Linked DNA regions of Arabidopsis thaliana. The main gene of each other region encodes a partner of the protein of the gene in region 4 in a complex. Each region holds a gene or a part of one and is shown on either strand. Other genes may lie near its edges.

Region 1 (7,123 bases), on a different chromosome or scaffold from region 4:
CTGTTCTTGATGAATTGGAGAAGAACTTGAAACTCACAGAGTGGCATATGGAGCCCTCGAGGATGACACTCTACCGTTTTGGTAACACGTCCAGTTCTTCTTTGTGGTATGAATTAGCATATAGTGAGGCCAAAGGAAGGATCAAGAAAGGTGATAGAATTTGGCAGATAGCTTTTGGTTCGGGGTTCAAGTGCAACAGCTCGGTTTGGAGAGCGGTAAGGTCGGTAAACCCTAAGAAAGAGAAGAACCCATGGATGGATGAAATTCATGAGTTCCCAGTTGAAGTCCCCAAGGTCTCCACAATCTAGAAACCACTTAGTGGCAAATTTTCAGAAGAGGTTTTTGAGTTTTCAGCTTTTGATATTTTGTGTCTTCCCAGTGAATTTACCTTTTTCTTGATTTGATAATCAGATACACCAAACTGGTTAACAATATTTTTCTTCTTTTTTGCGGAAAAACTTGTTGTAGTCAGTAGCAGACCGTCAATGGTCGGTCCAGCTTGTGTTTTTGGTTGTTGTGTCTGCATATATATTTCCTTTAAGCATTCTTTGTCTCTTTCATTTTTTGACAAAGTTGTTAAAAACAAGAGTTATCAACTTGTCATTAATAACAATAGGTGATAGAATGTGGCAGAGAGTTTCTATGGTTGTTAAGAATCAGTTGCAAAGATGAGATGATCTCCATCTCTTATAACATCTACATCATCAATCTCTGCATTGTTGTCTTTGTTCATAACTTTGGTAGCAACAATACCAAACTTGTTGGAACCCAATTCTAGCAACTCCTTGAAACTCCCAGGAAGCAGTACCAGCTTCCCGGCTATGTCATCTTTCTCTGCACAACTAATCGTCACTCTCACCGGGTTTCCAGTTCTGCCTTCATCTACCGTAGCTAGCCCGTTCTTGGGTACGCTTTGATTTGCTAATATACCAAACAACGAGTTATCGAAGTTGTTAGTTTTACGTCTTGCTCTTGTTTCTCGAATCCTGAAAGACACTTCTCTTGATGCAGGACGGATGTTGGGTTCACTAGTGAATCTTCCGAGGAACCGGATCCCGGTTTTGAGTATAGGTACCGAAGAACTTGTCTCGATATGCACTCTCCTCTCATGTAACTTTTCTCGGAATAAGGCTTTAATATCCTCATGCCCTTGTTGCTCAGCAAGATCCCTCGGCGTCCAACCATGCATATCCTGCTTGTTAACATCCGCACCTTGCTCCAGAAGATACTTTACCATCTCAATGTTCTCTTCGCATACAGCGGTATGGAGCGCAGAGGTGCCTGTGGCTCTAGGACGAGTAACGTCTCCACCATGAAGAACAATTTCTTTTAGTAGTTTCAAGTTTCCTTGCTCAGCCGCCGTGCAAGCAAAATGACCCACATCCCCTGCGTCTATGGTACTGCCATGTTCTAACAGTACCTTTACAACTTTCTCATGCCCTTCCACCATTGCTTCCCACAGTGGTACACTCCCTTCCGCGTCTGCGTTTACATTTCGAAGAAACCAAGAAGCTCAATACTTCAGAAGAAATCCTGAAATCAAAAGGGAAGTACCAGAACTGAACAAGCAAGTACCTCTGCAATTGGGGTCTGCGTGGTACTCCAACAGAAGAAGAACACAATTTAGAGTTCCTTTTGATGCTGCTATATGCTGTTTCCAGAAAAAAAAAAGAGATCATAAGTTATAGTCTCCAAGAGCTTGGATGAGAAGAAAATAACAGAACAAGAATGTGAACTTGACTGACCAGAGGTGTTCTGCCATTGTTATCCGATTCATTTGGATCAAGTCCTCTCTTTAGTAACTGATGTAAAAGTAAATCGTCTTCTCTTATTGCAGCAAAGCATAAATTGAGAGGAAGATCCATTTTACCCCGTGCAAGCATGTTTTCTATCTCCAGCAGAACATTCGTCATCACCGGATCATTCATTTCTTTCAAATGCTGCTCTCCACAAAGAAAGAGAGTGAGAACAAGTAAGTAATAGTTCATAGATACTTTTCTGTTTTCAATATTTGAAAACCTCAGAAGGATCTGTTTATTCACCTGAAGTAGATTATTCATGATTATGGTACCATCACCAACATTGGCCTGAATAATATTCAAGAAAGTTGTACGGTTCATACGCAACAGTTGGCACAAACGTTTGGTCCTCACAGTAAACAGTTGTGGTCTGTAGCATAACACCCCTATCTCCCCTATAATGTCTCCAGCTTTAACCTCTCTCACAATCTGAAATTCTCCATAAACTTCTCTTTGTGAATGCTTAGTTACATCATAACTCCAAGATCACAGGTATGGAGACAAAAGGGATAAACATAAAATAAGAAACATCCATCAAGTGACGCGACTTACGCTTTCTGTTCCAGTATCTACATCCACCAAGTCCTGCATCATAACGGATATGTAAGAGAAGTAAGTTTTATGTCAACTCAACAAATCTGTAGAGAACTTTGTAATGTTTTATTACCGCGGTTCCGTTCACAAGGATGTAGAAGTCTGTTGGCGCTTCGTTCTGCAAGATAACATCTTCTTTTGGTGGGAAATACTCAGCTTTCATTTCTGAGACCTGTAAAATGTACAAAGTAGTGGTAGCTTCATTTGTGTGTTGAAAATGGGATATGAATGATGTTTTCACATGCATTGTCATTAGTATACCAGTTGAAAAAGCAGGTCATTGGATACTCCTCGAAACAGGTAGACTTTATCCATGAGGGAGTAGAAAAGAAAGTGTGATATACTCGATCTAATGGCCTTTGGGAGTGCATCAAGAGTTTCTTGCTGTTGCAGACCCTCAGAGTCAGTCCGGTATTTCAAACATAAATGTGCAAGCATTTGATCTTGCAGACGAGGTGGTAAATGGTTTCTATGAGCAAAATTTGAAGCAGCTTGGATTGTATCTCTCTGCAAAATGAGAACAAAATATTATAAACCGCGATGGATATGCTTCAAAGATTGAAGATGGATATGAAGATGCTAACTTACAAAATTTCTAGTCCGACTTGTTCCATGGACTACCAAATTTGTCATGTTACCAATCAAGTAAGCGGTTAATCCGAGGTTGAAGAGCATATAGAAGATATCAAATATCATCTCCTTTGTGTTCACAGGATGCAGATCACCATAACCAACAGTGGTTAGAGTAGTGATGGACCAATACATGGAAGTCACATATCTCATCCACAAGCTTTCCTCTAGGAAGTTTGCTACATTTGCACCAATCCAGGTCTTTGCGGGGTTAGAATTGCGCGCTGCGATAAGGTAATAGAAACATGCAGCACAATGAACCGCAAAAAGAGTGACCTGCAAAAATGCTCTGGTTGGTTAGTATCTACACTATTACTACATCGAGAGTGTAGTAGTTTGAATAAAGATAACATTATAAGAAGCAAAACATTTTGATGTTCTTACACAAACGAGTTTTGCGCATCGGACCCAAAAGTAGTTGAAGTTGCGGTCTTTCTCTAGTCTGTTAAACAGAGAATGTCAAGATTAAAGAAAATAATGAAAGAAAGAAGAAAAGTTTAGTGATTCTAACCTGGCAAACAAGGCACCGACTCTGCGAAGACGCCAAAGACGAAGCATGTTAAACAATCCATAAGACTGAGATGAGATTCTCATAGCAGCCTCTGAGGGAATGGTTGAAACAAGATCAAGAAGGAACCAAGAACGCAAGTACTTAAATGCAATCTGTTTACGGTCATCAACAATGAGGTAAGTCGATTTATCGAGGTAACCAACAAAGAATGTCATGATGATATCGATGGCGAAGAATGCGTTCACAATGTTATCGGTGATAGATAGTGGTGGCCTTGGCTTTCTCAAGAACCCAAACTCGAAAGGCGAAACCCAAGCTGTGTAAACCACAAGAACCACTAGGAAAGCCTCCCATATCCTGTAGTCAACATTTCCATTTCAGTCATATTCAATAATCTAGTACATTTTCTACATGTAGTTGAACATATCTCTTAAGTTACTGCATGAATATATCCAAGTAAGTCTCATATTTAATTTATCAGTACTTTGTGTTTCAATAGTATGTTACTATTTGATGACGCTATTGAGGATACAACAACCAAGTACAGTTTTTTCTACTTTTGGTTATAGTAATATATCAGATTTGATATCAGTCGTTGAAATCAAGTAATGAGTGCCTTGAATGTTCCACATTCTCTTTTTCAATTACTATAAATTATCCCCAAAAAGCAAAAGCCAAAAGCAAAGGCGGCTTTTAAGCTAATTAGCCAACGAGAGTAATAATGGGAGCCTTGAATATTCTACAATAGCCTTCACATTTATAGATCTTCTTTTTTGAATATTAGGGAACTAGGATTTGAATATTCCAAATGTTGAGTAAAAAGGGAGCTTTAGTCGTCAAGTAGTTAAAATTTTCAAATTAACCTAAGAAAATATTATTATTAAAAATCAATTGTTGTTGAGGTAAAAAAACGTGGAAACCAACATTTTTGTGTTGTTTGACCAACTAGCATTTTTTATTTGCACGTAATTTTTTTATTTTATGAAGAAATTAAAACATTTTTCAAATAAAATAGTCCAATAAGATAAAATAACATGTTATTTGTTTAAAACCAACATGAAACTCTTACTATTTTGAGGGTAAACTTGTAACCTAACCAAATAGTTATTCACCTAACTCATAGAAAATAAGGTTAGTTAATCTAGTGCATATACTTAATAGTATTTACCCACAATAAATTACAAAAGTTGATCACCAACCATTAAAAAGAATACAATTTTTTTTTATATTCAGTATTCATTTAATAAAATACAAATTTGTTAACTATGATCCTAAAGTAAAGTTAATTTCTTGTTTCCGATCCTCATAAATGAAAGAATCAGAAGTTATATAGTTGAAATATATATCAAGTTAAAATGGTAATCGTCTTCTTAGCTTGACATGGAAGAGAAACAAGAAAAACAAAAAACAAAAGAGTGAAACCTGTATTTGTGATCATAAGGAGATACAACGAATCTCCTAAGCTTAACTCGTCGATTACTTCTTGCACCAAGTGAAGGTAAAATTCCAGTAGAAAGACTAAAATGACTACTCTCTCTCGAAAGCTGTTCAATCTCATCTTGGACTTGTCCGCATAACAAAGCCCCTCCTCTCATCACCGACGTTTTTTTTTCTTGGCTTCCTCTTTGATGGTTCCTTTTTTTTGTTCTTTTGGTTTCGGCAAAAGAGGCAAAATAAGCAGCTTAACTCTTGGCTTTATTGGTTTCACATTTTTTTTTCACTCGTTGTTGATGAGTGAGACCTTTTTTTTTTCTTTATAACAAAAAAAAACTCTTGGCTAGTTGGCTTTATTACGGGTGTGTGTGTCATTTCTGACTTTGGATCCCTTCACTTTCAAGGAATTAAGTTTTCTCTCGGCAACACAGTGGTTGGCCCCACTTTCACGTCTTAACCCTTACTGTAGCATTAATGGTGGCTTCTCCATTTCAAGATAAAATAAAATATCATTCTTGCTCATAAATAATTGTATTAACAGAAGAAGAAAAATTAGACCGAAGAGGAAGAGTTGACCAAAAATTTATACATCAGAGCATGATCTCAAGTTTTTCAATCATTATACTTACTATTTTATTGTTTGTTTGACTTCTAACTAAAGGAAAAAAAAAACACATATAGATGTAGGACACGACTTAAAACTTGTTTTAAAATATTTTAGGTGATCGATCATATAACATTCTTGGGCTCATTTGTGGTATGGAGATTTGAAGTGAGATATTGATTGCAACTTATGGTATGATTGGTTGCATACTTGCATAAAGAGCAATAAATGTTAAACTGTCATACTTTTATTTTAACGAGTAAAGGAAAAGCAAATCGTAAAAAAATAGTTTTTCTTTGTTTGGGCATAAAAGAAAAATATTTTGGTTCATCATCCCTAGATCGTAAGCCCTTTTGTTCACCTTTTCCTCGTCTATCTTACTCACTTCTTGTCCATCATCGTATATATAGGGAATTTAAGATAAGCTAGACATTTAGCCTTTAGGATATGATAACTACCATTGTTTGGGGAGGAAGCTACTTAGGATTTAAGTAGATAATGTAAAATGATGAGGGATAATAATGAACTTTGGATAACTATCCATTTTCTTGAAAGAGAAGTAATGTGATGGATAATCATCACATTTATAACAGTTACCTCATTAAAGTGGTCTTATTACTACAAATATTTGTTGCTATTTTTTCCTTCAAGTTCTGGATTTCTCAAATTTCATATAGTTAAAGTTTTAATTTACAAGATGTCTACTGCTATAGATAAATCATAAAGGTTTGATTGCTATGTCGCTAGGGGAGGAAGATGACCTTTTAAATATATTTGATCTACTTCAATATTGCTCTAGTGAAAAGAGTGTTGTGAGTTTGATAGGAAGAATTCGTAAATCGGATTGCCAAATGATGGAGCTAATCCTAGATAAGCCAAGGAACTGGCAAAAGTATGAAATCATCATAGAGATGGCTATTTCCTATAGAGAATGTTAGATGCGTAACAACCAATTTTCTTTTACTTTTAGAATTTTCTTTATTTACTAATATTTCAGTTAGAGGTTAGCACACTTCTTGTTCCATCCCATAACTGTTCGGGTGTTTCCAAATTCCTATCTTATATAGGAATGTATTCTCAATATGGGACAAGTTGGTATTTCCAAATAGAAACTGGAGGGGTTCCCTAAGTCCTGATTGTGACAAATACAACTAGTATATATATATATATATATATATATATATATATAATATTCTAAAAACTTAATTGATTTAATTTATGTTTAGTTGTTCTAAAATGGATTATGTTTCTTTGTTTTTTCAAGTTTTAACTTTTCACTATATAACACACTTTATCATTTTTTCTTGTTTGGAAAATATTTATGCTAGATAAATTGAAAACATGTTAATTATAGAGCAAGAGTTTATATTTTATTTTATTGTAACAGGTTCTAAGACCTTTTTTTATAGAAAACATTAAATTAAGATAATTATTAATTACATGACTCGCGCTCTGACCAGTTGGACCAAATATATATGAAACACAAATTTAGTTTAATAGTATTTTAGAGTATTTCTCTCTTTTTTTTTATGAGCTGGTATTTCTCTAATT
Region 2 (5,168 bases), on a different chromosome or scaffold from region 4:
TTCCTTTGAAAGATAAAAAAGCTGAAGAGACGGCATGAAGTATGGCTATTGAGTTGAGTTGGCTTTAGAAGCACTGTTTGATCTTGAAGTTGAGTTTGCGTCTAGTATGGCCGAAGATAAGATGAAGAGTAAAAGTTGCTTTTTCTAAATGAAAAGCGCTCCTTGGAGAAAGAGATAGTCTACATGGAGCGTGAAGAACTTTTAGAAGAGGTTTCTTATTTCAGTCTTGTGTAGCAAAACAAGAAGAATGGTCTTCCTTCTCCTCAAGAAAGAACATGGAAGTCATTGAAGCATAAATGAGTCATTCTTCCATTGCCTTACTACAAACACAATGTTCCCCTCATCTACAATGGATGGGAAACTTGATTGGCAAGTCACTTCCTTTTGTATTAATGTAGGGTTCTTGGTGAGGGAAAATCGCTAATTCTTCAATTAGGTTTTTTTTCCCTTTTCTCACCTCTTCTTCTTTTTGGAAGAACATTATTCATGTCTCTGCTTCTCAACCATCCCCCGAAGCTCTGCTTTCGTATACCCTTGTTGGTAAGATCATCTCCTCTTCTCTCTAATGGCGTCTCATCGAAGATCCACTTTTTGTCATCATGTAAGTTGATTCTTGTGGAGCTGATCTCGGAAAACTCGTCATTAGGAGGGCTGGTGACATCACTCAGTTTTGACTAGTTTTGCTTACAAGTCACATATGAAATGACTAGTTTTGCTTGCAATCTAGAAATCCATTGAATTAATATTAAAAGCTAACTCTAATAACCAAAACACAGAGATTGAAGCAAATCTTTTTAATTGGATTAATAAATAAACTGAAAAACTTTACATTACCATAACATCAAGATGCAAAAGTTGTATCTACAGATAGACCGAGCGAAATCAAAAAGGACAAAAACCAAACTAAAAAGAAGAATTTTGCTTCACAAAAAAAGCTCAATAAAAAATAAAATGAGTTCAGAGATTTAGAAATGTAACAAATAAAGAACCATAACGAAAGAACAACCTTCAACAATACAATGATGTCTTGCCGCTGCTTGCTTTTGCTTTTGCTTTTTCAGGTATCTTCAACCTGAGAATGGAACACAAAGCTTGGAAACGTAGTCGTGATATCCCTGCAGAGCAAGCACACAACAGGATCACGACCTTTATTACATATCATGGAGAATAGAAGAAAGAGAAACCAGAGAAGGAATTTGGTTGAATAGATTCAATCCTGGTTATATAAATAGAAAGATTTGGAACTCACTTGAGATATTGAAGAGTCATGTTCTTCAGAAGGCTGGGATGTCTAAGAACAAGGCTTCTCCACTCTTCCTTATCGATCTTTCCATCGTGTTTTGTGTCTGCTTCCTCAAACGTCTGAAACATTCAAAACTCGGGAAATTACTTTCAAAGAAAAAATATAGGGTGAAGAGGAAAAAAAGTAAGTAACTTACCTTGTCGATTATATCCTCAATGACAGTATCCTTCAAATTCATTCCAGATTCAGCAAGCGTAGCGACAACCATTTGTTTCACCTGGACAAATGATGGACGAAAATGTCAGTGAGGATAATAAAGCGCACTTCTACAAGGTTATATATGAAGCTATTTGAAGATATGGAAGCTTTACCTCTTGCCGTTCGATAAACCCTTGCTGTTTAAGATCATATAGCTGAAATGAAACTGCAAAAAAATAGTATATATCATTAATGTGTTATCCCAATCTTGTTTTTGAGATACAAGCTAAAAGGGACGTACAGTGAATTTTGTCATCTATAGGCGCATTTGGGTGAAAGACGGAGAGAGCACGAGCAAATTCCTCAAACCCCAGTATTCCATTGTGCTTTGTATCAAACAAATCGAAAACCTAGAAACAAAATCACATATTTCAGCATTTCTTCTAAACTTGATCTTGACAAAAATGGGTTTAAGAACACTTATAATGTGAAGAAAGAAACATTACCCGATCTGCAAACAAACTCTCTTTTTTATTTGTCTTAAACAAAGCCAACTGAAACTCTTCCTGATACAAACAAGAGATGAGTAAATTAGACAGATTGTTAGATCAATCACTAAAGCTTTACCAAATGAGGAAGAAGATCAAACAAGTTAGAGTTATACCTTGTTTATTAGCCCATCATCAATCACGGCACTGCTGATTTTCTTAAAAAGCTCATAAAGAGCTTCTATTTCACTCACACTAACTGCATTCCAAAACCAAATTCAATCATCAATAGTCTTCAGAAGAAATATTTTTGCATTCCTCAAATGGTATTGCATCGAATCTTATAACCGGAAAAAAAAAAAAAAAAAAAGAGTAGAGAAGGTGATAGGGCATACAAACAGTGTCTCTTGCAAGCAATTCAGGATCTCCAAGGCCACCAGATTGTTTATACAAATCAAGATCAAAACACCCTAAAACAGAGGTGCATAAATGCTTGATACCGTCAACGCACTGCGACATGATATATCTTAAGCAGCAAATCAAAACTCTCCATGCCTGCATATAAAACATTGTGAACTTGTTTTGCTAATTTCAAAAAACAGCTCTACAGAAGCAAGCATATGAAGAACACTGTACCTTTCAACCATTTCCTAGTGTTTTTTGCTGAGAAAGGATGAGACTTTGCGAGAGTATCTGTAACACAAGTTGCAAAATTCAGAGTAATCTAAATAAGTCAGTCAATATAGGCAACACAAACATTGCTTAGAAACTGAAGTCATTATCATGATTTTACTATTCAGATGATTCAGTTATGTCCACATAATATATACAATATTGAAGAAGATAAGAAAATTAATGGAGAATCTAAAGACTTAATCAAAGCTCATTAACCAAATTTTAATCTTAAACATCACAATTTATGGACACACAAAATTAATAAAATCCATCAGAAACAAACCCAAATTGGGAAATTTGAATTTATACATTAATGAACTCAAGGATTACACAATCAATTACAGGTTCTGAGAAACAAAACCCGATCTAGATCCCCAAAAATCGTCCTAATGGATTCGTGAATCGCAGATTCAACAGAGATAGAAGAATCTTGATATGTAAGTGAACTCAAAATGAGTAGAATGGATTTGCGTATACGAAAATTTACCGATTACGTTGATTCTCAATCTCAAGTCGGCTCTGGTTGTTGAAGCTGAGCGAGGAAGACGGAGACGATTTGTTGTAAAGCAGAGGAGAGAGTTGGAAAACAAATTAAAACCTGAAGAATCTTTTTAAATATCTCAACAAACAACAAAAACTCAATCTTTTTGCATTATTACAAATTAAATCCTGAAAAATCTGCTCAAATCGTCGTCGTTTTATTCTTCAAAATACGGTTCGATTTGATTTTCGTTCCGGTTAAGTAAAACTCGAGCTGAATTGAACCGGACATAAATTTGAATTTCACATTCACCCATAGAATATATGATCTATTGTGCTATTGGAGAATTTAAGTTTTCAAAAAATCTTCAAATTAGTACATTTTTTACGATGTTAAATGCAAAATAATCATACAAAATCAAAGATAATATGTGATATAGCCATTTTTTTCTATTGTCAAATTTTAAATTTTTGACAAGTAACATATAAAATCGAACCTCCCGAAATGATAAGTTCAATTATATCTTCAGAAATTTTAAAAATAATGTGATCATCAAAACGTTTACAATATATATAAATTTGCAAAAATATATTATATTGCGTATTATTTCTGACTTCGTAAAATTATTTTATATTTTCTTTATATAAAATGTAGACAGAAAAATTCATTTCAAGTATTTTTGAAGCATATAAAATGTGTATGTAATAAATGCTTAAATTTGAATCAAATTGGTGAAAATTAGATAAAAGTTTACCTTGAATCGGGTTAAGCCGATTTCAAGCGGTTTAGTAATACAGACCAATGTCTTTTTCGATAAAAATTATTGAACAATGTCAAAAGAAGAAGTAGAAGAAACAAACAAATAACAAAACCGACAGTTATTATACCGAACAAATCCAGTAACCGGGTTTACTGAGCCTTGAGGGAGTCACTAAACCGGCTCGACTTGGACGACAATAAAACAGCGAGGTTCGACCCAATAGACCCGGCACGTGTCAACGAATCAACGCGGTGATACCTGCACCTGAAAGAACCGGCGTGTGTCGTCGGAGAACATAAACAATTTAGCCTCGTAGATTTACCGGAGGACGATCTCCAACGTTTTAAACTAGGTGAGTTATTGTCTTGGCTCTTCGATTCAACGGTAGAGCTACCGGAGGGTTTAGGGTTGATCTTGGCTAAACTTGTGGAATACTTTTCTTGTGCCTTAGGTTGTCCGAGATTTAGGGTTGAAGGGTTTTCTTTCGTCATGGTTTTGACGAACGTAAATAAGAATGAATTTGTGTTGTTGTTTCTTGCTAATGAATCAAAAGGTAATTTCTATAGTGACTTTTGTTATGAAGGTAAAGAATGATTTGTGTTGTTTCTTGCTAATGAATCCAAAAGGTCATTTATAATAGTGACTTGTGAGAGAAGGCAGCTAAAAATAGTCGTTGGATGTTGTTGACAAACTGCTTTTTTAAGTTATTGGTGGTTAGTATTCTAGAAAAGAGTTATTGTAAATTAGTAGAAAATATTTGACTTGGAGGTTTTATTCTTCTTTTTATGGTTTACACATTTTGTGCAAGGACAAATATTATGACTTTTCAACCAATTAGGAACATACTTAGTTGTGTTAGTGCCAATTGAGAATCTAGAACAGTCTAATTTAAAGATTCTGTAACCAAAAAAAAACATCTGATTGTTTTTGTTTGGTTTGTGCCTATTTTAGGTTTTGACAGACTCAAAGGCTTAAAATTCAAACTCTAAATTAAACACCCTAAGACTTACTTATATAGCTGAAGTCAAAACCATCTCAAAGACTCCAACTATTTAGATGCCATGTCCAAAACTTTTATACTTATGAGATATAGTTAATGCTATAAAAATATTTCTTTTAAGAAAACCGACATCCTAATTGATAGTTAATGAAGTAATGTTTGGGTTTTCAGTTTTAAATTGCAAAAAAAAAAATTGAACATATAAAAAAATATATACATCAAGATATGTAAATGAGACGAGAGAAAAAACAAAATATGTAGTATAAACACTATATTAAGATTCTATAAAGTTGTTGCCATTGTGATTTGCATCATCTACTCAC
Region 3 (4,991 bases), on a different chromosome or scaffold from region 4:
ATGGACAACGTCCCACTATCACGCTCATCTAGATTGTGCCAGGGGAAGTGTCATCTTCCGTGAGAAATTTCTTTTTGGTATCAACTCTTGAGTTTCATACAAATGATTCTTGTCTGAACTCTTGAGTTTCAACTAAATGATCCTCAAACTTGGCTTTTGTAGTCAAAGAACATGGAGGATATGTAAAAGCGTCGCCGTACAGGGGGATTAGAGAGAATCACTCCACAGCATGGAATGTCTGAATCCGCTTGAGTTCTTTAGCTACTGGGATCATCATTGGTCTGTCTTCATCTCAAAGCCGGCACCACACACGTCAATTCGGATTTATCGGTTACAATAAATTCAGGTCTGGTTTGATTATAATTTTAGTTTCATTTTGGTATTTTTGAAGTTTTCAATTCCCTTAATAATAATAAATTGATTTATATGGCTAATTTCTTCTGTCTAAGCATATTTGACTTTGATTTCTCGTTACATAAAACATAAAGTGTTGGAATAATTTATGAGCAAAATCAAATCTTTAATCAGAAATTGTGGTTTTATATTAATCTTTTCGTAGAACTACAACTTGAGTATTCAAAACTGTTAAAGAAAGAGAGCCAAAAGTAATCGCAATACATGAAATTGAAATCCAATAGACTAAAAATTCCAAAGGAAATAGAGCTCGATCCTGCTATATAACATTGTTGGAATCAATCTTCTTTTTATTCTTGGTCCAGCCTACGACTTGGTCTCTATAAACCAGCTTGTCTTGTCTCTTTCACGTCGCAATCTCGTCCACCTCCGAGTTAAATACGAAACTCGGAAATGTCGTCGTTATATCCCTAAAATTGAGTTTTTAAGTCCTCAAACTTGGAAAATGGCACCAAAACTGGCCAAATAGATGGAAGTATCATAGTAAGGAGACATACCTGAGATACGGAAGAGTCATGATTTTAAGCAAAGATGGGTTTTTGATAACGAAATTGCTCCATTCTGTCTTATCAATCTTTCCATCCCGATCCACATCTGCGTCCTCAAATGTCTGTTCACGAAAAGAAAAAAAAACTCGAGTTTCATAAAACAGTCTTTCTTTTGACAGAAAACAAACTTGTAATAGACAACAAGTAAACCTGATCAAGTATCATCTCTATTGTATCATCAGCCAGTTTCATTTCAGATTCGCAGAGAAGTGCAATCAACATCTGCTTCACCTGCCAAAAACGCATACACAATTATGATTACTTATAGATGATGCAGAATCCATAATACTGAAAGTCTTTGAAACATAGATTGTTTGGGAATGGAATGTGAAGATATAGGACCATTGTTTACCTCTTGGCGCTCAATGAAGCCTGTGCAGTCCATGTCGTAAAGCCTAAAGGTAACTGATATATGAAATACAGAATAACATGAATAAAAGTACAGCAAGGCTTTAGAGAAACGACGATGGATATAAACTCGTTTATGGGTCAACTTACAGTCTGTTTTCTCCTCTAGGGAAGCATTAGGATGGAAAACATTGAGTGATCTCACAAAGTCTCCAAAATCAATTACGCCTTTTCGTTTAACATCAAATAAATCAAATATCTGGAAAAAAGAGCATTACCATTAACTACTTATAATAGAACTAATCGTTACGACTAACTACAAAGTTACTAAGGCCAAAGAAACTTAGAATTTACCCTATTGGCAAACAAATTTTCTTTCTTTCTGTTCTTGAACAAAGCAAGTTGAAACTCTTCCTGCATAACAAGTTGGTCGAGAAAATAAGTAACAATATCCAAGAGTGGGCCAAGAAAACATCAATTTTTATAAGCAAACCAATATAAAAAATGGAATTAAAATTCAAGTCAACTATCATCAACACAGAGACTTGGTGAGCAATAAGGAGCCCACAGCTCAGCATGGAGATTCAATAATAAATTTGTGAAAGTCAAGAAAGTTGACAAATAATACGGAATATGGATAATGGTGCAATGAATATTATTATGTCACTGTACATCACGCATTCAAGATTCTCCCATGAGGTGCGAAATAATCAAAGGGCTATGAGATTTATCATTACCTTGTTTATCAAGCCATCGTCAACAACCGAGCTGCTTATGCTCTTGAACAATTCATACAATGCTTCAACTTCACTAACACTAACTAGAAAAACAAACAAATAATTAGCCACACTGCGAGATTTCTCATCAACATCATGTATATCACCAAAACAAAAATCGAAAGTGATGGTTCTTGAAAACTTTCTCTGATTAAGATTCCATTTGAAAGTAGAAGTAAACTACACTAATGATCCAAGAAACTATTGAAATAGGTTTATGTGATGACTTAAGTAACAACAAGCATCATTTAACAAAGTTGTAGATCAAATAGATTATGAATGAAAGAACCATTTTTCGGATTCAATAAATGGCGAAAACAGATTCTCATATCAGTTAACAATTGATAAAAGAGAGATCTTTATGCTCATGCTCTTTGAGAATAAAGCAAAGAAGAGAAAACGAAACGTATAGTGCAAGTAAACTTACAAGCAGTCTCAGAAGCAAGCTTCACAGGGTTTTCGTGATCGGGAAATTCTCTGGCAGCCGTGGAATGGAAACAACCCATTTACGGATGACAAGAGTAAAACGAAGAAGAAGAAGCTTGTTCCGGAGGTTGATAAAATCGCCAAACTCTACTACAATTTCTGAGATTGTGAAAAAGCTTGATTTCTGATATTACTCACTCCCCATCATCATCATAAGCATCTTTAAAAACTACAATGATTCAATCAAAAACAAAACCCAACAAAAATTGAATTAAAAGACGAACACGATAATTGAATAAGTATAAACCCTAGAAAAAATAAGCAGCAGCTATGTGGCAATCGAATTCAGATTAACAAAATTTTGAATATTAAATCGGAAATTAAACAGGTAATGTAGGAGCGGCTCGAGAATCTCCGAACCCAGAAACTGAATGGTGAAATCGAAAAATTGAGCACTTACCACCGAGAGAACGGGCTCGCCGGCTCGGTGAGAGAGAGAGAGGAAGGGATTTTGATTTTTGAGAAACGAGAGAGAGACGAAGAAGAAGATCTCTGACCACGATGGTAGATGAATTGATCGGACGGCTGAGATTAACTTCAGACTTTGCTGGGCTTTTTTTGTTCGTCAGAGGCCTCCGATTGGGGAAATTATGAGAGAGTTTGTTTATAACATGATCGTCGCACGTGTGAGGGTCTGAACGCGTGTGAAACACATCCTTGTCATTTTTACCTCTTTTTTTCTACCAACCCCATTTTTATTTTATTTTTATTACAGTGTGGGAAGAAAACAAAGCCATTATTGTTGTTTGACATTTTAGTTTCGAAATTTCAACTTTCAACTTTCCTTTTTTATTGGTTAAGAAAGTTAATCATTTTTACAAGTTTTCTTACAATTCTGCAATGATTTTGTTTTGTTTTTGTTTTTTTATTAAAAGAAAAATATTTAGACTCGAATTTTGTTTTTATGTAAGTTTATAACTGTAAGAAAAAAAAAGTGTAGAGAGGTAACTAGTACTTGTAGAGTCAAGATTTAACATACTCAAAAGATACTAAGAATGATATTTATTTGTATAAGATATAATTTTCAAATTGGATCTTTCATTTTCATAATCCATACAGATGTCAAGATCTCATAGTCTTCAAGATCTTGCAATAAATAAATATTAATATGATAACCCAACTAGCAAGGGGACTAATTACTGTATTTATCTATATATTCAAGATTCATGTAGAGTGTGTTTGATAATAATTTCAATATGGGTCATATACCTTTTGGGATAAACGAAGAATTATAATAATTCTGGTCACATTTTAGTAGTCTAATCAATCACGTAGGACAAACAAAAATCCAATAGTATAAAGGCGGTCTAAATAAGAATTATGGATTAACATAATTACTTTTATATAAACCATAAGACATGATCTAATCATGTATATTATCAAATTTTGAAACTAATTAAGTACGTACGCCATCCAACAATCCAATAATGTAAACTATATAATGTTCGCCTAAAAAAAAGAAATGGATTAGCATATCCATAAGACATGGCCAAATCATGCATGTTACGTATATTAAATTTGAAACTGGGATCCTGGCTCTAGTAAGAGTGGTTTATAATTTTATATTGGGTTTAGAATTCCAAATTAAATGGTCAAATTCTTTCATTCCAATACAAGCAGAAACTTTTATGATAGTAAAAAGATTATGAGAAGACTTATGAGGTGTTAAGAAAGTGGGAGATGTATTATGAGGAGGAGAGATTATGAGTATAGTAAAAAGATTATGAGAAAAAAGATTATGACAATAGTAAACAAGAAGGTCCATACAGTATCCATGTTTTTCAAGAAAGTGGGAGATGCCAAAGTCCTGGACCTAATATTTTTGTTTTAAGTTTTGATAACTAACTAATTTTTTTTAAATCAGACACAAAAATAAACATAGACTGTTGATATTTTAGAAAATTAAGATCTATTAAAAAAATATTGTATTTTCTTATAGATAAACAAAAAAAACTTTTTTTTTACTAAAAGACTAATATCAAACTGTCCTAAGGTCCCTACTAATTTTGGGCCGGTGGTCCTGACAAGTGACAACAGTTTAATGGTCCATTTTGTACTTAAAATTGAGTCAAATTAGTTGCGGCAATAAGAGCAGAGCAGTAATGTGTTACACCCTTAAAGGACGTTAGTACTGAAGCCCAAATTCTTTGGAGGTTGGTTGGTTGGTTGATGAAGTGCGGTTTTGATTAATTCACAAATATGACTTACTTGATGACTTTTCACAAACATCCATCTGGAAACGCTACTATTTGATGATGTATTAACAGTAGAAAGCATATTAAAAAAAATAAAATCTCTTATTGATTAAATTATCAAGCGTCAAAACGAAATAGGTCTGCTTTACAAGTCAAAGACCTTCGATACATTATCTTTGAGACTACTTCATAGAGATTTTTAAAGCAGAAAGATTACAAAATCT
Region 4 (6,505 bases):
AAAACTTTGCCTCCGCCACTAACCACGAGGACCAAACTCTTTCTCCACATCCACAACAGCCTTAGCTGTTTCTAAACCAACAGGACCAACCTCCTCCTCCACATCTACAACATCCACAACAGCCTTAGCTTCATCCAAACTGTGAGGAACAAACTCCTCATCCACATCCACATTAGTTGTTTCCAAATTATGAAGACCAACCTCCTCCTCCTCCACACTCTTAGCTACAGCCTTACCTGTTTCTTAGCAATAAACAAGAGAGTAATACAGAAGAATAACAAAACCCCTAATTGAAGAATTGGTGTTCTTGTTCACATCTTCTTCGCCCTCAATTATTAATACAGAGTAACTTGGCCACCAAGTTTTCCATCTCTAAATTTTTGTTATAGTATTTGGTCCGACATAATCTTTATTGATATTTTTCTTTCCTTGATTTTGGTTTTAAAATCTCACTAACTTCAAGTCATGCTATATATTCAGTTTGTTTTGTCTACACTGATATTGGTTTTCAGTCCGCTTTCCTTTTTCAGGTTTTAAAATTATGAAAATAAATTTCGATTTGGTTCACACACAAGTGTTAGTTTGTTTTCAGTACATTTGAACTGAAATATCTATCGAATCTCAGCGTCCGACAATATAGAAATTGCAAAACCAAATCTGTAAAGCTTTTACTTTCCGGTTAATCGATTCAAGCCAAGAACCTCGCAACACGCATATGCTATTCACAACATTCCATGGAATCAAACATGATTAAAATATCAATAATCCCCATTCCCCAATATAGTTTCAAACTGCTTCTGCTCCACTTCTTGACGCTTCCTTTTGTATTAACTTCAAAACCACTCCGTACTACTATAGTAATTTATAACGAACAAAATCTATATTAGAAAAAAGTAAACAGCTTATGTCGACTGTTTTGCAATTGTCCGGTTAGCCATGGCACCATTAGTACCACCTGAAACATGAAGAAACAAAACAGGATTTGTGTTTACATGTTTCGTTAGTTTCTCCTTTTCTAGGAGCTTTATCTAAAAAACAGAGTATTCAAGGCAGATACTTACCACCATCGGTTCCTTCCTCTTTCTCTTCGTCGATGGTTTTCCAAACAATGTCCTTAAGTCCCGTGGTAAGGTTCTTGTAAAACTAAAAGAAGAGCAAGAAAGGATGCAAAAAGGTAAAGATTCAAACATCAGTTACTGGAAGACCATTTGACAAGCTCGGGTTTGATACAACCTGATCAGCATTAATAACCCTTGCATACCTTGTGGAATTCCAATGTGTCACCCCCTGATTTTCGCATTTCAACCATGTAAAGAGATGGAGCAACTTGAAAAACCTGAAGGTAGATGTCAATTAACTTAAATTAGGTTCAGCCAACCATACAAAGGGTGATCACTGGTCATTGTGAAAGCTAACCTCAGTGGCAACTGCCAACTGACCCTTGCGGCCTGATTTCTCTCCTGTCAGCTTCATCTGAAGGAGTTGAGAAATGGTTAAAGGGTCTATTCAGAAGCAACAAACCAATACACAACTCCACAGCATTGGGTAAATACGTAACAGTATTCTAACCTTGTAGTTATTTGTCTTGACATCAAACCCCATAGGTGCTGCCGCAGCCTCAATTTTTGTAACTATCTCATTAGCCGAAGATTTGGAAGTAAATCGAGTTTTTCGTTTCACCAGCCCCTGAAATCAGAGAAGCTTATCAATCAGAATGACGACTTCTATCAAACTAAGTACGGGCTTCCAAAGAAAAGTATTGGTCACTAAAATTTTGTGGCAAAGCTACTTCTTATTAGGTTTGACCAAAACCGCAAAAAGATAGTTAAAAATTGTCAACAAAATAAGAGCCTTGGGGGACGAAATTTAAAGACCAGCTTTACGTATCAGACTTCTGTACCATTTGTTTTTCGAAAAGTGAACCGAGATTGAGACCCTGGGATGTCGAGATGAGCTCAAAAGCATTCATCGTTACTGGTGTTTTGAGTCCTTCTTCTCGCCTCTCCACAACAAGATTCTTAGACTCCTATTAACAAACAAAAACAACTGAGCAATCATCCCGGACAAAGTACCGAAAAAAACAAACAAAAGAACACTAGCCTTACCCCTGAGTCATCAAAGATTGCATCAACATCATCAAGGCTGACATCAGCATTCTCAAATTTAGGTGCTTTATACCCTTTTTTAAACCACTCATTTTCAATGACCTCAGCAAATGTAATCCTCTGCCCAATATAAAAAATCAGTGTAAGCCTTCAGATCTACTCAATCCTATAGAAGCTTTTGCCTCTTCAAAGGAGAGATCCTCTAATATAAATTATATAATAGGGTAAGAAAAATATACCGTTGCTGGATTGGGATCCAGAATTCTTTTGATTAACTTCTTAGCACTTGCAGAGAACCAGGGAGGGCAAGTAAATTCTGCTTTGAATATCTGTAATTATGAAGAAAGAAAATCAGGTGGCTTTTATGCTATATACGTCTCATACAAAAATGACAGAGGCTTTTATACAGCCACCCAAATGCACCTAGACCTTGAAGCCTTTCTGATAGCATGTAAAATGATATGTATCAAAAGAAAAGCAAAAGAAGAAGAGGCAAGCGTAATACCTTTTTATATAACGACGTCAGGTTAGAATCTTCAAAAGGTAAATAACCAGCCATTAAAACAAAGAGAATTACTCCACAAGACCACAAATCAGCCTTCGCTCCATCATAACCTTTGTTGTTGATTACCTAGGGAGAAAATATAGAAGGTTACTGAGACTAGAAAATAATAGAATTCAAGTTTTGAGAAAATTGTGTGTCAGTTTTCAGTAGCAGTTGCTAATACCTCCGGAGCAACATAATTGGGTGTTCCACAGGTTGTGTGAAGTAACCCATCCTCCTAAAGAAAAAGGGTCACAAAATCAGCTTTTGAATAAATCATGGAAATCTTTCTCCTTAGAAGCCATAGTAGCTGAATTATCGAACTATGATATTTACAATGAAATGATAGAAAAAGAAATCAATATCTCGATGCTCACTCGAACTTGCTGAGGTAGAGCGCTCAATCCAAAGTCAGACACTTTCAAAGCACCATTAGCATCCAAAAGCAAATTTTCTGGCTGCAACCAGAATGTGCAACATGATTCAAACACATCAAACTTTTATTCTGATGCCAATTGATTCACAAGAAACCCTATGCAAGAGGATCACAAAGTAAGATTCCTAACCTTAAGGTCTCTATGATAAACTCCCCTGCTATGACAATAATCAACCGCATTAATCAGCTGTTGGAAATACTTCCTCGCCTCATCTTCCTTCAATCTCCCATTGCTTGACTAATACATGACAATTCTAAAGAATTAAGATCTCATTTCCACATAGTATTAAGAAAAAAAAAACACATCTTTCAATGAAATCTTACAATTTTATCGAAAAGCTCCCCACCAGTGACGAATTCCAAAACGAAGTAGATCTTAGTTTTGCTAGCCATCACCTGAAGAAGAAGAAGAAGAAGAAGAAGAAGAAGAAGAAGAAGAAGAAGAAGAAGAAGAAGAAGAAGAAGAAGAAGAAGAAGAAGAAGAAGAAGAGAATCTGTAACTACAAAGATACCAAAAAAATACATAGAATAATCAAATCCCTTATATTACATACATATGATTAGCCAGGGACCACAAATATGTTCCATAACTTCAAACGAATCTCAGCTTATAGCACAAATCTATAGAACAACAACAACAACCAAAACGTGCAACACAACTTTGAATTCAGCTTTATAGTATCAGAATCAAACCTCAAACATACGAATGACATTCGGGTGCTTGATCAATTTCATCGTCGAAATCTCACGCTTGATCTACAAAATCCAAAATCAAAGGTTATATCACAACTGCGTAAATCAGATTCCCAATAAGAACACAGCAGCTGGAGAATTGTATAATACATACCTGAGCGATCATCTTATTTTTCAGAACTTTCTCTTTATCAATAACCTTAATAGCGACATTATCACCATTCTCAACATTTCTAGCGAATTTGACCTTAGCGAAAGTTCCTTCACCCAAAGTTCGTCCAAGCTCATACTTACCAACTCGTGTCCTACCACCAGAAGAACTACCAGAAGGCGTTGATCGTGAAGGAGTCGATCGTGAAGGCGTTGTTCGAGAAGCCATCTCTCTCTCTATATATATATCTCGGTCTCTTATATATATATAGATAGATCTCTATTGAATCAGGAGGAGGACCTCTTCTTCTTGCATGGCTGCCATACTTGGGATTTCGCAACGCTCATCGTGAGAGATCTGCAGAAGAATTAAAACCCTAAGGGACCGGAGACCATATAAACAGCCGAAAATCAAAATTCAACTCTCGTGTGCGGAGAAAATTCAATTTGGACGAAGAAGAAGACTCATGAAGACGAGATTTGTATTTGAAGTGAAATTTTGTCAGTAGGGAAAATTCTGGGAATCGTAAATTTCGGCTGCTTTAGAAAAATCGAAGCCGGTTCTGGGAAAAAGCGAGTAACAGCAAGCGAGAGAGAGAGAGATTGTGATTCGATGGTGGAAGGAATTTAAAAGTTAAATTAAGAAGTAAATTAGTTAAGGAAATGTTTAATTAAAATTCTGTTTAGGGATTATACGAGGAAGGTTGTATCTGTAGGTTCTGACGTATACTATAGTTTACATTTTAAATTATTCTAGGCTTATCTTAGTCTTTGATAATTTAAATGCAAACGTTATGGACTTATGGTGATTACAGAAAATTATGTCATCCTTTTTTATCAAATATAAATAAAAGTAAATATTTTACTTTTTTACATGCCGTGTAATTAGCTGTCATAATTTTTTAAAACAAAATTTCGAAAAAGAAAATAAAAAATATGATATTTTCTCCAACCGAATAATCAACGATTTCAAAAGAGTTAAAGAACGACAGTAAAGAATTTATAAATTTTTCTTTATCTTTAATTTCTCGTAAAAATAAAAACAGATAAATTAGTACAAAAAAATTCTTACCTAACTTAAATAATATTCTCGAAATTGCTCAATTAAATTCTAATTAATATTAATTATTAAAATATATATATATATATATATATATATATATATGCAAACTTTTAATAAAAATATTGAACTAAGTCCACCACTTATCCAATTAGCTGCCATCACTTATCCAAGTATCTTTTTATACTCCGAGATTCCAAACATGTGTACTTATAAGATTTATAAAACGTAAGAGGATCTTTTATTTACTCTAATAAATACTATTGATTAGATTTGAAACGTCCAATTGAACTTTTGATGTTATGGAAAAGCCGTTACCAGTATCAAGGAGCTACGTGCCCTTTTCAATACTAAATGTTTCACAAAAGGGGCACTTAATGATACAAACCATTAAACATTAAATTTTCGATGGTTCGATCAAATGTTTAGAATCTTCTGTCTAGATTATATATGTGTTTGTGTTTCTATAAGAAATAATGCTCTATTATAAATACAGTATACAGTTATCAACCTAACTAGTTATACTTGTTTTTTCAACCCAAAATAGTTTAAACCTAGTTTCTGATTTTTATGGTGCTCATCAAAGAGAATGTTATCTAATAATCATCGTATTAGCATAAAACAATAGAACCAAATCATTGGTGGGCAAATGTACATACACATGACCTTGCCACGTTTTCTTGAAAGGGTTTGACTTTACAATTGATAGCCCATGAGGCCATGACCATCATGATGCATATTTTTAAAAATAAAAGTTATCTGATTCATATATATTCATACTCGTTTAGTCGTTGAATGTAAATTCTCAAATCTTTTCATCATAATTTTCTTCAGTTGATGATCATTGCAGATGCTTTAGATTGAAAATTATATTTAATCTCTTAAAAACCCTAATGTGTAAATAATGACTTTCTTATCAAGAAAGTATATTCCCGGTCAGTCATTATAATATTTGACCTCGGAAATAAAAATAAACCGACCCACGAGTTCGTGTTTGTGATCAGAAAACTAAATTAACGGAAGTTAACAGAAACAATCATGTTCGAGTGTCTGTTGGAGGCAACCAAGACATTATTATTTGCTTAATTAAAATGATTTTACAAAGCGTACAATATCTCTTTCTAACCTAATAATACCAAAACTAAACCCTTTAACAAAAAGAACATAACACCAAAATTCAATTCTAATAAGAATCAAACAATAATAATCTTTTTAATCGGTCGAGTTAACTGTACTTGAGACATATAGTCACAATTATTTTAAATCTATGTTTGATTATTTTATACGTAAATATATTTAAAAGTTCATCATTAGTAATTAAATTTTGAACTTTAACGGTAAAAGAAAAAAAAAATAACGTAAAATAACGTTGTATTATCTGTATATTTGTCATATATGACTACATTTATTTCAGACATAGTATAAACTTGGTTGATGTTTCTCTTGTGATTAAAACATATATTTCAGTGAGAACATATACTCGCCAGGTTTCTCGGATGATAACTAATATCCCTTTA

Evidence for each region.
Region 1: CIPK23 (region 4) and KT1 share a complex: the UniProt entries of both Arabidopsis thaliana proteins name them as parts of the K(+)-channel calcium-sensing kinase/phosphatase complex.
Region 2: CIPK23 (region 4) and CBL2 share a complex: the UniProt entries of both Arabidopsis thaliana proteins name them as parts of the K(+)-channel calcium-sensing kinase/phosphatase complex.
Region 3: CIPK23 (region 4) and CBL9 share a complex: the UniProt entries of both Arabidopsis thaliana proteins name them as parts of the K(+)-channel calcium-sensing kinase/phosphatase complex.

What each region holds. Positions count from the first base shown.
Region 1 is NC_003071.7:11,331,316-11,338,438, forward strand, and holds KT1 (K+ transporter 1), read right to left. Parts: upstream 5,424-7,123; 5' UTR 5,130-5,423; coding exon 4,957-5,129; intron 4,104-4,956; exon of another isoform or gene 3,892-4,103; coding exon 3,535-3,891; intron 3,466-3,534; coding exon 3,408-3,465; intron 3,300-3,407; coding exon 2,982-3,299; intron 2,901-2,981; coding exon 2,655-2,900; intron 2,566-2,654; coding exon 2,467-2,565; intron 2,385-2,466; coding exon 2,352-2,384; intron 2,229-2,351; coding exon 2,043-2,228; intron 1,941-2,042; coding exon 1,746-1,940; intron 1,652-1,745; coding exon 1,576-1,651; intron 1,483-1,575; coding exon 650-1,482; 3' UTR 535-649; downstream 1-534. Other genes in the region: KCS11 (3-ketoacyl-CoA synthase 11), read left to right, coding at 1-308. UniProt on the Arabidopsis thaliana protein: Highly selective inward-rectifying potassium channel that mediate potassium uptake by plant roots in response to low K(+) conditions, by a calcium-, CBL-, and CIPK-dependent pathway. Positively regulated by phosphorylation by CIPK23.
Region 2 is NC_003076.8:22,669,469-22,674,636, reverse strand, and holds CBL2 (calcineurin B-like protein 2), read right to left. Parts: upstream 3,525-5,168; 5' UTR 3,092-3,524; intron 2,623-3,091; 5' UTR 2,566-2,622; intron 2,485-2,565; 5' UTR 2,449-2,484; coding exon 2,325-2,448; intron 2,189-2,324; coding exon 2,106-2,188; intron 2,008-2,105; coding exon 1,948-2,007; intron 1,852-1,947; coding exon 1,743-1,851; intron 1,668-1,742; coding exon 1,615-1,667; intron 1,521-1,614; coding exon 1,440-1,520; intron 1,363-1,439; coding exon 1,250-1,362; intron 1,116-1,249; coding exon 1,058-1,115; 3' UTR 1,007-1,057; exon of another isoform or gene 782-1,006; intron 724-781; 3' UTR 537-723; downstream 1-536. Other genes in the region: AT5G55980 (serine-rich protein-like protein), read right to left, coding at 3,995-4,336. UniProt on the Arabidopsis thaliana protein: Acts as a calcium sensor. CBL proteins interact with CIPK serine-threonine protein kinases. Binding of a CBL protein to the regulatory NAF domain of a CIPK protein lead to the activation of the kinase in a calcium-dependent manner.
Region 3 is NC_003076.8:19,129,136-19,134,126, forward strand, and holds CBL9 (calcineurin B-like protein 9), read right to left. Parts: upstream 3,170-4,991; 5' UTR 2,973-3,169; intron 2,742-2,972; 5' UTR 2,593-2,741; coding exon 2,514-2,592; intron 2,131-2,513; coding exon 2,048-2,130; intron 1,725-2,047; coding exon 1,665-1,724; intron 1,570-1,664; coding exon 1,461-1,569; intron 1,368-1,460; coding exon 1,315-1,367; intron 1,194-1,314; coding exon 1,113-1,193; coding exon of another isoform or gene 1,056-1,112; exon of another isoform or gene 1,025-1,055; coding exon 912-1,024; intron 825-911; coding exon 761-824; 3' UTR 505-760; downstream 1-504. UniProt on the Arabidopsis thaliana protein: Acts as a calcium sensor involved in abscisic acid (ABA) signaling and stress-induced ABA biosynthesis pathways. Contributes to the regulation of early stress-related CBF/DREB transcription factors.
Region 4 is NC_003070.9:10,652,922-10,659,426, reverse strand, and holds CIPK23 (CBL-interacting protein kinase 23), read right to left. Parts: upstream 4,628-6,505; 5' UTR 4,158-4,627; coding exon 3,933-4,157; intron 3,842-3,932; coding exon 3,779-3,841; exon of another isoform or gene 3,640-3,778; intron 3,482-3,639; coding exon 3,410-3,481; intron 3,324-3,409; coding exon 3,216-3,323; intron 3,108-3,215; coding exon 3,027-3,107; intron 2,888-3,026; coding exon 2,834-2,887; intron 2,737-2,833; coding exon 2,611-2,736; intron 2,435-2,610; coding exon 2,345-2,434; intron 2,226-2,344; coding exon 2,106-2,225; intron 2,027-2,105; coding exon 1,901-2,026; intron 1,687-1,900; coding exon 1,570-1,686; intron 1,474-1,569; coding exon 1,417-1,473; intron 1,337-1,416; coding exon 1,262-1,336; intron 1,144-1,261; coding exon 1,062-1,143; coding exon of another isoform or gene 1,045-1,061; exon of another isoform or gene 956-1,044; coding exon 903-955; 3' UTR 527-902; downstream 1-526. UniProt on the Arabidopsis thaliana protein: CIPK serine-threonine protein kinases interact with CBL proteins. Binding of a CBL protein to the regulatory NAF domain of CIPK protein leads to activation of the kinase in a calcium-dependent manner.